Linked DNA regions of Arabidopsis thaliana. The protein of the gene in region 2 binds, or shares a complex with, the protein of the main gene of each other region. Each region holds a gene or a part of one and is shown on either strand. Other genes may lie near its edges. A codon is read from its position in the direction of its gene.

Region 1 (3,628 bases), on a different chromosome or scaffold from region 2:
TCTTTTTAAAATTTAATGACTATGTAGAAAATGACCATACAGTGCTGAATGAAGTAGTAGTGCAGGTGGGTCTTGTGACCATGAACCTACTAAACATTTCCTCAGACAAACAAACAGACAAGTAAAAAAAACACAGCAAGCAAATCAGTCAGAACACAGGATGGGCCTCAGTGAAGAACATTAGACGTTTTCTTAGGGCTCTCTTTATTGCCCCATGAACTTGAAGCTCTTTTGACTTTTGAATGCGACCGCATAAATATTCTCCACTCTATAAGTTAGTTTAGTGTCGAAGTACTAAACTAGAAGTGACTATTAATGCCAGCCAACCAAATTATGTTGTCACCCATTTCAGTTCCAAATTATCATCCATGGACATTCTTAGTTATGAAACTCCTCGATTTATTTAGTTATAACTAAGAAGTTTAATTAAGGATGATTTGAGATCTTATACTGAACTCCAAAACACTTTTCCTAACCATGAAGGTGCGGGTGATTTGGGCTCGGACTTGGGCTTTTCCAATCCAAAATCAAGTTTCACTTTTAGTTTTCAGTATTTCAATATTATATTATACTTTTTGGTTTAGTTCACATGTTTCATTACACGTCATTCCGTCAAAAACTCGTGTTCTGATATGTAACTGTAGAAATAACGGACGGAGTAGAATTGATCTATCTCTAATAAAATATTCTGTACTGGCTTGAAAACATTGTGATGTGAAACATCAATCATGTGATCATATGATTGATCTAAGTCATAGTTTCATGTAGATACACCCCAAAACCTTCCTCTCGACTTGGAAATTTAAGCAAGAGACCTCAAATTATTTCTCATTTAATCCAAGGTACAGTGCGGCATTTTGTTGATAAAATAAGAAATTATTTTGATAGAATTGGGTTTAAATATCGGCTTCCAACCTAAAACCAATTGGCAATAGGTGGAGTGACCCTAACCCTTTATATATCACTTCATAATTCCTCCAACTTCCGATGTGGGACTTTCTTTCATTAACATATTTTCGATTTCTTATTCCGATCGGGTTGGATCCATCATTAACAATCTCAACTTAATCTGCAACGTTTGTTTCGAGATAAAATACAAAAGAAGATATAAAAGAAGAAATAGGTCTCATTTGATCCCTCGTCTTAAAACAAATTAATGCTTAATTGTAAAATACTAAAACATCATGATGTATATAATAGACAAAACGGAACTTAATTATATGAACGAAACGAAATAAAAAAGGACAACAACAAAGGAAAAGTAAGTGATATACCAATGAATCAAAAGCTTATATGCATCATGATGATTATATAAAGAACAAAAAAGAATATATAGATCATACGTATAACATAGGATACGTTAAGAAAGAATGAAAAAAAAAAAAGATGGAAGTAAGGAGAGGCAATTAATATTAACGATCAAGAAAGAAGAATGAAGATACGAACGTACGTTGTTGAATCAAATCTCTTCCTCTCTATCATTTAGCGAGCGTACCTATAGCAATGCGTGATGGCACTGCATCCACGCCTGTAAGGATTATTCCTTCTTCTCTTCTTGCAATCGTAGTAGGATCGGCCACGTCTACTGCAAGGCACATTGTTCTTTTTGAGAGCATCGTAGCCAATGTAACGACGTCCTCTTGCGAGTTGACGACGGTTTGTCTCTGAATCCATTAGAGATTCGAGCTCATCGTCTTCCCCGATGCAACCTTGCCCGTTGATGCAAGATTTGGTTAAAGGGTAGGTTGCATTGACGGATTTAGCTACCATAGCTAAGATCAAGAGACCAAAGATTAATAACATTTTGACACCCATTTTGTTTTTTTTTGGTTTTGGTTTTTTAATGAGTTATTATTGCTCTTTTGTTTAGGTTTTGGTTCTTCTACGCCCTTTCCTTGTGACAAGGAGAGGGAGAAATAGAAGTGTGTGAGAGATTATGCAGAAGAACAAATGAGAGATTGGTTTTGTTGGATTAAAAAAAGGCTTAAGACAGTTGCGATTTTTTGCTTGTTATTATTTTGTGGTCGTTAATTCTGTTACTTTGAAATTGGGGTTTTAACCTCTTTTTTAGGTCTATTTTCTCCATTTCTTCCGCTTGGTGGTTAGATCTAAATTTGTTACAAGTTATTTCTGGCTCTGCTTTTTGATCGGCTAACTTATTATTTTTTTCTTCTGAAAAATATTAAAATGCTCAATTTTAGCATGTAAAAGTCTATTATCAGTTTTGTAACCAATTTCAAAAGAACTTAGGAGTGAGTAGTATAACAGCATGATCCAACCTTACACATTTCATGCTGAAAATGTTTTATTACATCCTAAAAAATTAGACTGAATTTTGTAATACTATTATAGTTACTGTATTTTTTGTTTGTTAGTACTATTTTATTAGGGGAAAATGAGAGATTTCATTAAATCACAAAACAATATTAGAAAAAAAGAAAGTTAATACAACATTTAATTTAAAACAAAGAAAATAGTTAAAGATGGCGCCGGTGAAGTAGTATTACAACACAGTGACATAAACTACATTAGCACATCCCACGTTAACCACAGTATAAAGATTAGGTGTGGTGTTTCAAGATATATTTACAAATATATTCATGATAGGCCTCGAGGACGATAGACTATGTTCTCATCACCAGTTACCTCTCGTTTTACTCTTTTAGATTTTTATCTGTTTTACGTATGGAGGTGACTAGAGAGTTTTCAGAAGAAATATGCAGAAGATGATGGCTTCTTTTAAAATCTCATTATTTTTGGATGCTATTGATATTATATCCAAACTCATCAAATGTTTAATTTGAGTGGACAAAATAAACAACATCCGGATAAGAAAACGAACATTCACCAAAGAAATAAAAACAACAATTTCACACGTTTATGTGGAAATCTTTGCATGAGCTCCAATGTCTGACTCTTAGCTTAAAAAACTCAACAAAACACTCAATATGTGTACTAACCTAATTTAGGAGCTACTTCTAAGGCATAACGAATGAAAATTTCTGGCCCAACGTAATTTAGTGTTGACCCTTTGCAATAACTTTTTTTTTCTTTTGGCGTGGCCTTTTACAAATCTTTTTTTTTTTGTTTACAAATCTTTGGTTATTGATATGTAAATGGTTTTTGTAAGTTGTAAAAAAGTCTTTGTATATTGATATGTTAATTTACACCCATTACGAGGATATGATAGAGTATTACTTGGCAGTTATTAATCAATATTCAATCATATAGTTGAAAACATTCTGCAAGATATTAATAAACATATGTTTCTTTCAATGTAAATTAAACAGTGTACTTTCAATTTTTAATAAAAGTCATACTAACTGGTGTAATTTAAACATTGTTTTTTTTTGTTTTTTCTTCAAAATATACTTATATGTGATTCATATTCGATAACACTATATTTATATATAAACTTAGGACCACATTTTTAAATTTTGACAAAAAAGGGACCACATTTTTAATCTCATTTAGTTATGTGTCAAGCGAGGTAACATATATACTGATTGTCAATTGGTTCACATAGTATAAAATCAGATTATTGATCCAAAATAGAGAATGATGCGGATTTAAGATTAAATTCAATTCGAAATAGACTAGACAATATAATTCACCGAAAAAACCATGG
Region 2 (5,898 bases):
TTAAAAAAAAAAACACCTATTGAAAATATAGTAAAATTACAGTCGAAGTTTGTATTAGGAATAAGACCATAGAAACTAAATCAATATTGAAAGTTGAACTAAATCATCAATATTTGTTTATTAGCTGAACACTATTCTTATTTTAATCTTGAACATAGATGGAGTTTAGCTATTACCTATTACTGTACTTCTATTCCAAACTAAGGAATCGTTTTGGATATTAACCTATTTGACCATGATATTAAGTATTAACAAACGATTTGGTTACTTGACCATGATATGAACAAACGATTTGGTTAACTAGTCGGAAAATATTTTAAGCTTAGGTTAAAGTAGTCCAACATCTAAGTATTGATGTTAGTCTACATAGTAGCATTTTGGTACCTTTTTCAGAGGATTGTTCCGATCAGCCCATCGGGCAAAGAAAATATCTATTCGAAGATGGTGATTGATGAGTCGAAATATTGAAAGTTGAAAATGTGATAGTTGCCAATAAAGACCAGAAATAAAAGTATAGGTTTTTGCTTAAGGAAAACGAAAAATAAATCAACGATCTAAGTCACGTTGACGTTGACCACTAAATAAACTAAAATATTTCAATTCTCAATTAAGGATTTTTCTAAGATGTCAAAATAAAGTTGAAAATTTCTGTTGATATTAAAAACAGTGCGAAAATATGAATGGATATTTATACTTTGAACATTGAACAATTTTTTTTTTATTTTTGTAAAAGACAATTTTTGAGAGAAGTAGACACAAAGAATGTGATGAATTTACACTATAAAAGTATAAAACTTAGAATTACAGATATGTTAATGGTTAATTTTGAAAATATTCACTTCTAAAAATCATCTACTTACAGATTACAAATGGTCAAATTATAAATGTATCTTTTTTTTTGTTTGTTACAAATTGCGTTAACCGGAAAAATGTTGGACCAAAATGTAAAATATTAAAAATGTATGGTTCAGTAGCCTGGGAACATCGGTGGTGGTGGCGATGCATATTGGTGTCCAATGTTTGGTGGGAGGATGAAATTATCGCCGTCGTCGTTGTCTTCCGATGGTGGTGCAGTTACATCTGGTGATGGATTTGAAGATGGCGGTGATGACGAAGGGGTGGCTTCTGATTGTTTTGGTGCTTCAACTTCTGGTTCGCTTGATGGTACTGGTGCTTCAACTTCTGGCTCGGAATCTGGTGATGGAGCTGGACTTGATTTGAACACTGGTGAATGATTTGAATCTGATGGTGCTTCGATGTCCTCAGAGTCTGGGGTCGGAGCTTGAACCGGTGTTGAGATTTCTCCTGATTCTGATGATGAAGGTGTTGGAGCGTTTGCCATTGGCGATGTTGCTGGTGGTAGAGGCGTTACAGGTTTCGGTGGCGGTGAGAAAACTGGAGGAGGAGGAGAGTAGATAGGTGACGGAGGTGGTGGAGAGTGGACTGGTGGTGGTGGAGAATGGACTGGAGGCGGCGGGGAGTGAACTGGAGGAGGCGGTGAGTGAACAGGAGGAGGTGGTGAGTGGACTGGTGGCGGTGGTGGAGAGTGGACCGGTGGAGGCGGGGAGTGGACTGGTGGAGGAGGAGGTGAGTAGATTGGTGCAGGCGGTGGTGGAGAGAAAACTGGTGGTGGTGGAGGTGACTGGACCGGTGGAGGAGGAGAGTGGACTGGTGGAGGAGGAGAGTGGACTGGTGGTGGTGGTGAATGGACCGGTGGAGGAGGAGAATGGACTGGTGGTGGTGGTGAATGTACTGGTGGTGGAGGAGAGTGGACTGGTGGTGGTGGAGGAGAGTGTACTGGAGGTGGTGGTGAGTAAACCGGTGGTGGAGGAGAATGCATCGGAGGAGGAGGTGAAAATACAGGCGGCGGTGGGGAATGAACCGGTGGTGGTGGTGGTGGAGAGTGTACTGGAGGAGATTGTGGCGACGTTGTCTTTGTCTCTTCTGTCGAGGGTGATGGTGGTTGAGGACGACGTTTTTTAATCGGAGATGCATCGTAAGGATCATTTGGTACCGGTGATTCCAATGGAGGCGACCCCATTTTTGGTGCCTCTGTCTTTGGTGGTTGTTCTTGCTTTGGTGGTTGAGGCTTAGGTGACTCCTCTGGTTTTGGGGTCTCTTGCTTTGGTGGTTGAGGCTTAGGTGACTCCTCTGGTTTTGGTGTCTCTTGCTTTGGTGGTTGAGGCTTAGGTGACTCCTCTGGTTTTGGTGTCTCTTGCTTTGGTGGTTGAGGCTTAGGTGACTCCTCTGGTTTTGGAGGTTCCGGTTTAGGAGATTCTTCTGGTTTTGGTGGCTCTTGCTTAGACGACTCTTGTTTTGGTGACTCAGGCTTAGGTTTTGGCTGTTCTGGTTTTGGTGCCTCTTGCTTAGGCGACTCTTGTTTTGGTGACTCAGGCTTAGGTTTTGGCTGTTCCGTTTTTGGAGATTCCTGTTTTGGTGACTCTGGCTTAGGTTCCTTTGGGTTAGAAGGCTCATGTGATGGTGTCTCAGGCTTTGGACTAGGCTGTTGTGGTTTGGGAGATTCTTCTGGTTTTGGCTTAGATGGCTCTTCTAAGTTTGGTGGGTTTATTTCTTTCTTAGGCTCCGGTGCCTTTGGTGTTGGTGTTGGTTTTGGTGATGGGTTTGAACCACCGCCACCTCCACCGGCACACTTGTCTTTACTGCAATCCACAGGACGGCTAACCACCGGCAAACATTCTTTAGCCGACTTCTGGTTTGGTCTGTTCTGTAAGCAATTGCTCGTGTCATCAAACTGTTTCTCTTGGCTCGATCCAGGCACACAACTTTGAGCTTCTCCATTGAAGAAATTGTAAGAAAATGTGAAGTTTGACAATTTGGGCAACTTGCAGATATTGTCTGTGACAAATCCGGTGAACTTATTGTACGAGAAATCCATTTGTTCCACGTTGGCTAAGCCCGACAAGGTCGATGGCAAACTTCCGACGAACCCATTGCTGCTAGCATCAAACACAGTCACATTGTTCAACGAACCGATTTCGTTCGGTAAGCAACCACTTAGGTTGTTCCCAATAAACACAATCTCGTTGAGGTTCTTCATCTGGCCAATGGTTTTTGGGATGCAACCGCTAAATTTATTGTGTGCGAAGGTTACAACGGAAGCTGTTGATTTACCAATTGTCTCGGGGATGGTCGACTCAAATCTATTGTTGTTCAAGAAGATGGCGTCGAGATCTTTATCAAAGATCTCTGGTGGTAGTTTCCCTTCAAAATCATTGTATCTTATGTCAAGGAATTTCAAAGACGGCCAAGAAAGAGCAACTGTCGGAAACGGACCAACGAAACGGTTATTGCTGACGTCGAATTCATACATTAACGTTAGCTTCGAAAGACTTTTCGGAATAACTCCGCAAAACCTGTTGGAATTAACGTGAAACAAGGCGACATCGGTCAATAAACCTAGCTCAGGCGGCAAGTATCCGGCTATATCCGCATGGTTAAGGTCAATCCCCGCCACAACCAATACGCTTGGGTCGTCAAGTGCTGGTGCACAGAAAACTCCTTTGTAAGAACACACGTCTGGACCAACCCAATTAGCCGCAGTGTTGAACGGATCAGAGTAGAATGCCTTTTTCCAAGCTTGAAGGGCAATGTAAGCCCTTTTAAGTCTGTTATTAGCAAATTTGAGGTCTAAATCGACTTCGTACTCGATGTCGTCGGGAAGATCTCCGTTTTCTGATAATGCCAAAAGTTGGCGTCTTGTAAGAAAAGAAGCTTCCTCATCGGTGAGAGCCGCTGCGGAATAGAAAAAAATGGAGATGGTGAAACAAAAGAGGAGAAGGAAGCAGCCAAAAGGCTTCTCCATTGTTCTTCGGGTCATGGTGATGAAAAAACTTGGAAATGGCTCTATGGCTTGCTTAATAGATGAATGTTGTGGAGAGGAAGCCTATAATGAAACGAAGGCAAACAGAAACCATTGGATTGTTTTGCTATTTTTGGTATAACAAAATTTATATAGACTAACGTTTAAAGGGTACGAAAATAGCAAACTATTGTAGCTAATTTAGAATTAGAGGTCGTTGACAACGTCTTTACAAGTTTAGTTTAGTTTTACCATTGTTGAAATTTGGACGACCAATATTTTTTACAGTCTGGAAAAAAAAAGTAAAAACTCTTTTGCTTAGTGTTGTGATTTGTGAATATTTCAAATTTTATTTGACGTTTGCGTTTTGAACTCTTTGGGAAAACAGTGAAACAAATTAAAACGTTTTCTTGTAAAATTGCTGATACTGTAGGCTATATTTATTGTTGAAAATTTTAATTTTTGTTAAGAAAAAAGACTTTCTTAGTAGTATAGTATTTGAAGAAAATTTTCAAAGGATTAAATTAAGAAAATGATTCCAACTAGTATATCTGTTTTTATAATCACTTTTAAGAATGATCAAATAATGTTTTTGTGATATTAACTGTTCAATATGTCAACACCTCGTTATTTAGTTTCTACTATATAATTGTTTTGAACATTCGTTCATCACAAGCTCGCAATAAAGTGAAAAGAAAAAATGGTGAGCAAAACAAATAGTTACTTAACCTCAATTCTTGTTATATTGATCAGCCGATACTACCGTCCTATCTCCGCCACGCCACAACCCGCAACATGGCCGGGCCCATTTTGTGATGGTTCATGGAGCTTGGTTTTTGGTATAAACTATACCATTCTTGAAATCTCAAGGCCATAACGTAACTGCGGTCAACTTAGCGGCATCCAGAATCGATCAATAACGGCCTGAGACTCTACGGTTGGTTGCGGAGTCTATTGGGCCCTTGATGGGCCTAATGGAGAGTCTAGGTGAGGATGAGAAGGTGATTCTTCTGGCACATAGTTTGAGTGGGGCTTGCTATTCCTAAGGCCATGGAGTTGTTCTACAAAAAGGTTCATATGGCTATTTTCGTTATTGGTGAAAGAGTTTCAGCACTGGATGATCAAGAACAACCCTCCTAACCACGTGGAGCATATCCAGAATTCTGATCATATGGTCACGATTTCAAGGCCGTTAGATCTTGGTGCCTGTATTTTTTCTTTGGCTAAGAAGTTTGCTTGAAAAATATTGATTTTCAACATTTTGTTAGTGACACAATAAAAAAGTCAACATTTTGTTATATAAGAATGTACGAAAGAAAACATGGTTTGTAAGGCCTAAGCTGTTTTCCAAGTTTTTTTTTATATGGTTGATCATTGATCAATTCCATTCATATGTTTCACGAGCCACACTTTTTATACGTCTATTACTTTGCCATATGTTTGACTTTTCAACTTCAGCTAATCCTAGTAGATTGTTTCACAAAACTAATCAAACTACAAAACTTAGTTGACCACTTTAATTAGCATGAGGTTATGGACCCTGAGAAGATTTAAATGAAAGCGATTCCAGTTTAGATTCGATGATTTTTTTGTTTTTTTTTCATCTGAGACCTGAATTCGTTTCAAGAACATCAAATCCAGTTCTAAGAGTTTAACACATATATATATATTTTTTTAAGAAACCAATTAACTTACTTCACACCTCATGACCTCAAGATGATTTATGAGTATAATTGTTTCTCCATAAAAAGTGCTTATTTCTTTTCGTCTATAACTTTTTTGCTAAAATCGTCTATAACTTTGATTATGTTTTCCAATCTTACGTACCTTGCAAAGAATGGACATGTTTTGAAGTTGCAAACCGTTCAAATCTGTGATTAATTTGTTCAATAGATCTTAAAGAAAATTAAAAGCAGTTAATACACAAGAATTATATAAACGTCCACGGTTTTGATTCATCTGTAAACTCTTCATTATGTTTTGGTTATACTTTATACACAAATAAACAATATCCAAAACGCCACAAGGCACGGGAACTACTAACTTTAATGAGGCCAAAACCAAAAAAAAATAAAAAA

Evidence for each region.
Region 1: the proteins of AT3G19020 (region 2) and RALFL4 are in contact, whole or in part, in a crystal structure (PDB 6QWN), measured with the Arabidopsis thaliana proteins. Residues at the interface, in NP_188532.2 of Arabidopsis thaliana: Phe109 (codon at 3,514), Cys110 (codon at 3,511), Ala111 (codon at 3,508), Pro112 (codon at 3,505), Leu114 (codon at 3,499), Val122 (codon at 3,475), Ala123 (codon at 3,472), Gly124 (codon at 3,469), Asp126 (codon at 3,463), Asn128 (codon at 3,457), His129 (codon at 3,454), Asp145 (codon at 3,406), Val146 (codon at 3,403), Ala147 (codon at 3,400), Leu148 (codon at 3,397), His150 (codon at 3,391), Asn152 (codon at 3,385), Ser153 (codon at 3,382), Leu169 (codon at 3,334), Tyr171 (codon at 3,328), Glu172 (codon at 3,325), Asp174 (codon at 3,319), Asn177 (codon at 3,310), Lys195 (codon at 3,256), Phe196 (codon at 3,253), Arg200 (codon at 3,241), Tyr201 (codon at 3,238), Asp218 (codon at 3,187), Ala219 (codon at 3,184), Phe221 (codon at 3,178); in NP_174148.1 of Arabidopsis thaliana: Tyr63 (codon at 1,629), Ile64 (codon at 1,626), Gly65 (codon at 1,623), Tyr66 (codon at 1,620), Ala68 (codon at 1,614), Leu69 (codon at 1,611), Lys70 (codon at 1,608), Lys71 (codon at 1,605), Asn72 (codon at 1,602), Asn73 (codon at 1,599), Val74 (codon at 1,596), Cys76 (codon at 1,590), Arg79 (codon at 1,581), Gly80 (codon at 1,578), Arg81 (codon at 1,575), Ser82 (codon at 1,572), Tyr83 (codon at 1,569), Tyr84 (codon at 1,566), Asn92 (codon at 1,542), Asn93 (codon at 1,539), Pro94 (codon at 1,536), Tyr95 (codon at 1,533), Arg97 (codon at 1,527), Ser100 (codon at 1,518), Ala101 (codon at 1,515), Ile102 (codon at 1,512), Thr103 (codon at 1,509).

What each region holds. Positions count from the first base shown.
Region 1 is NC_003070.9:9,881,352-9,884,979, reverse strand, and holds RALFL4 (ralf-like 4), read right to left. Parts: upstream 2,030-3,628; 5' UTR 1,816-2,029; coding exon 1,483-1,815; 3' UTR 791-1,482; downstream 1-790. UniProt on the Arabidopsis thaliana protein: Cell signaling peptide that may regulate plant stress, growth, and development.
Region 2 is NC_003074.8:6,558,207-6,564,104, forward strand, and holds AT3G19020 (Leucine-rich repeat (LRR) family protein), read right to left. Parts: upstream 4,172-5,898; 5' UTR 3,839-4,171; coding exon 968-3,838; 3' UTR 758-967; downstream 1-757. UniProt on the Arabidopsis thaliana protein: Modulates cell morphogenesis by regulating cell wall formation and assembly, and/or growth polarization.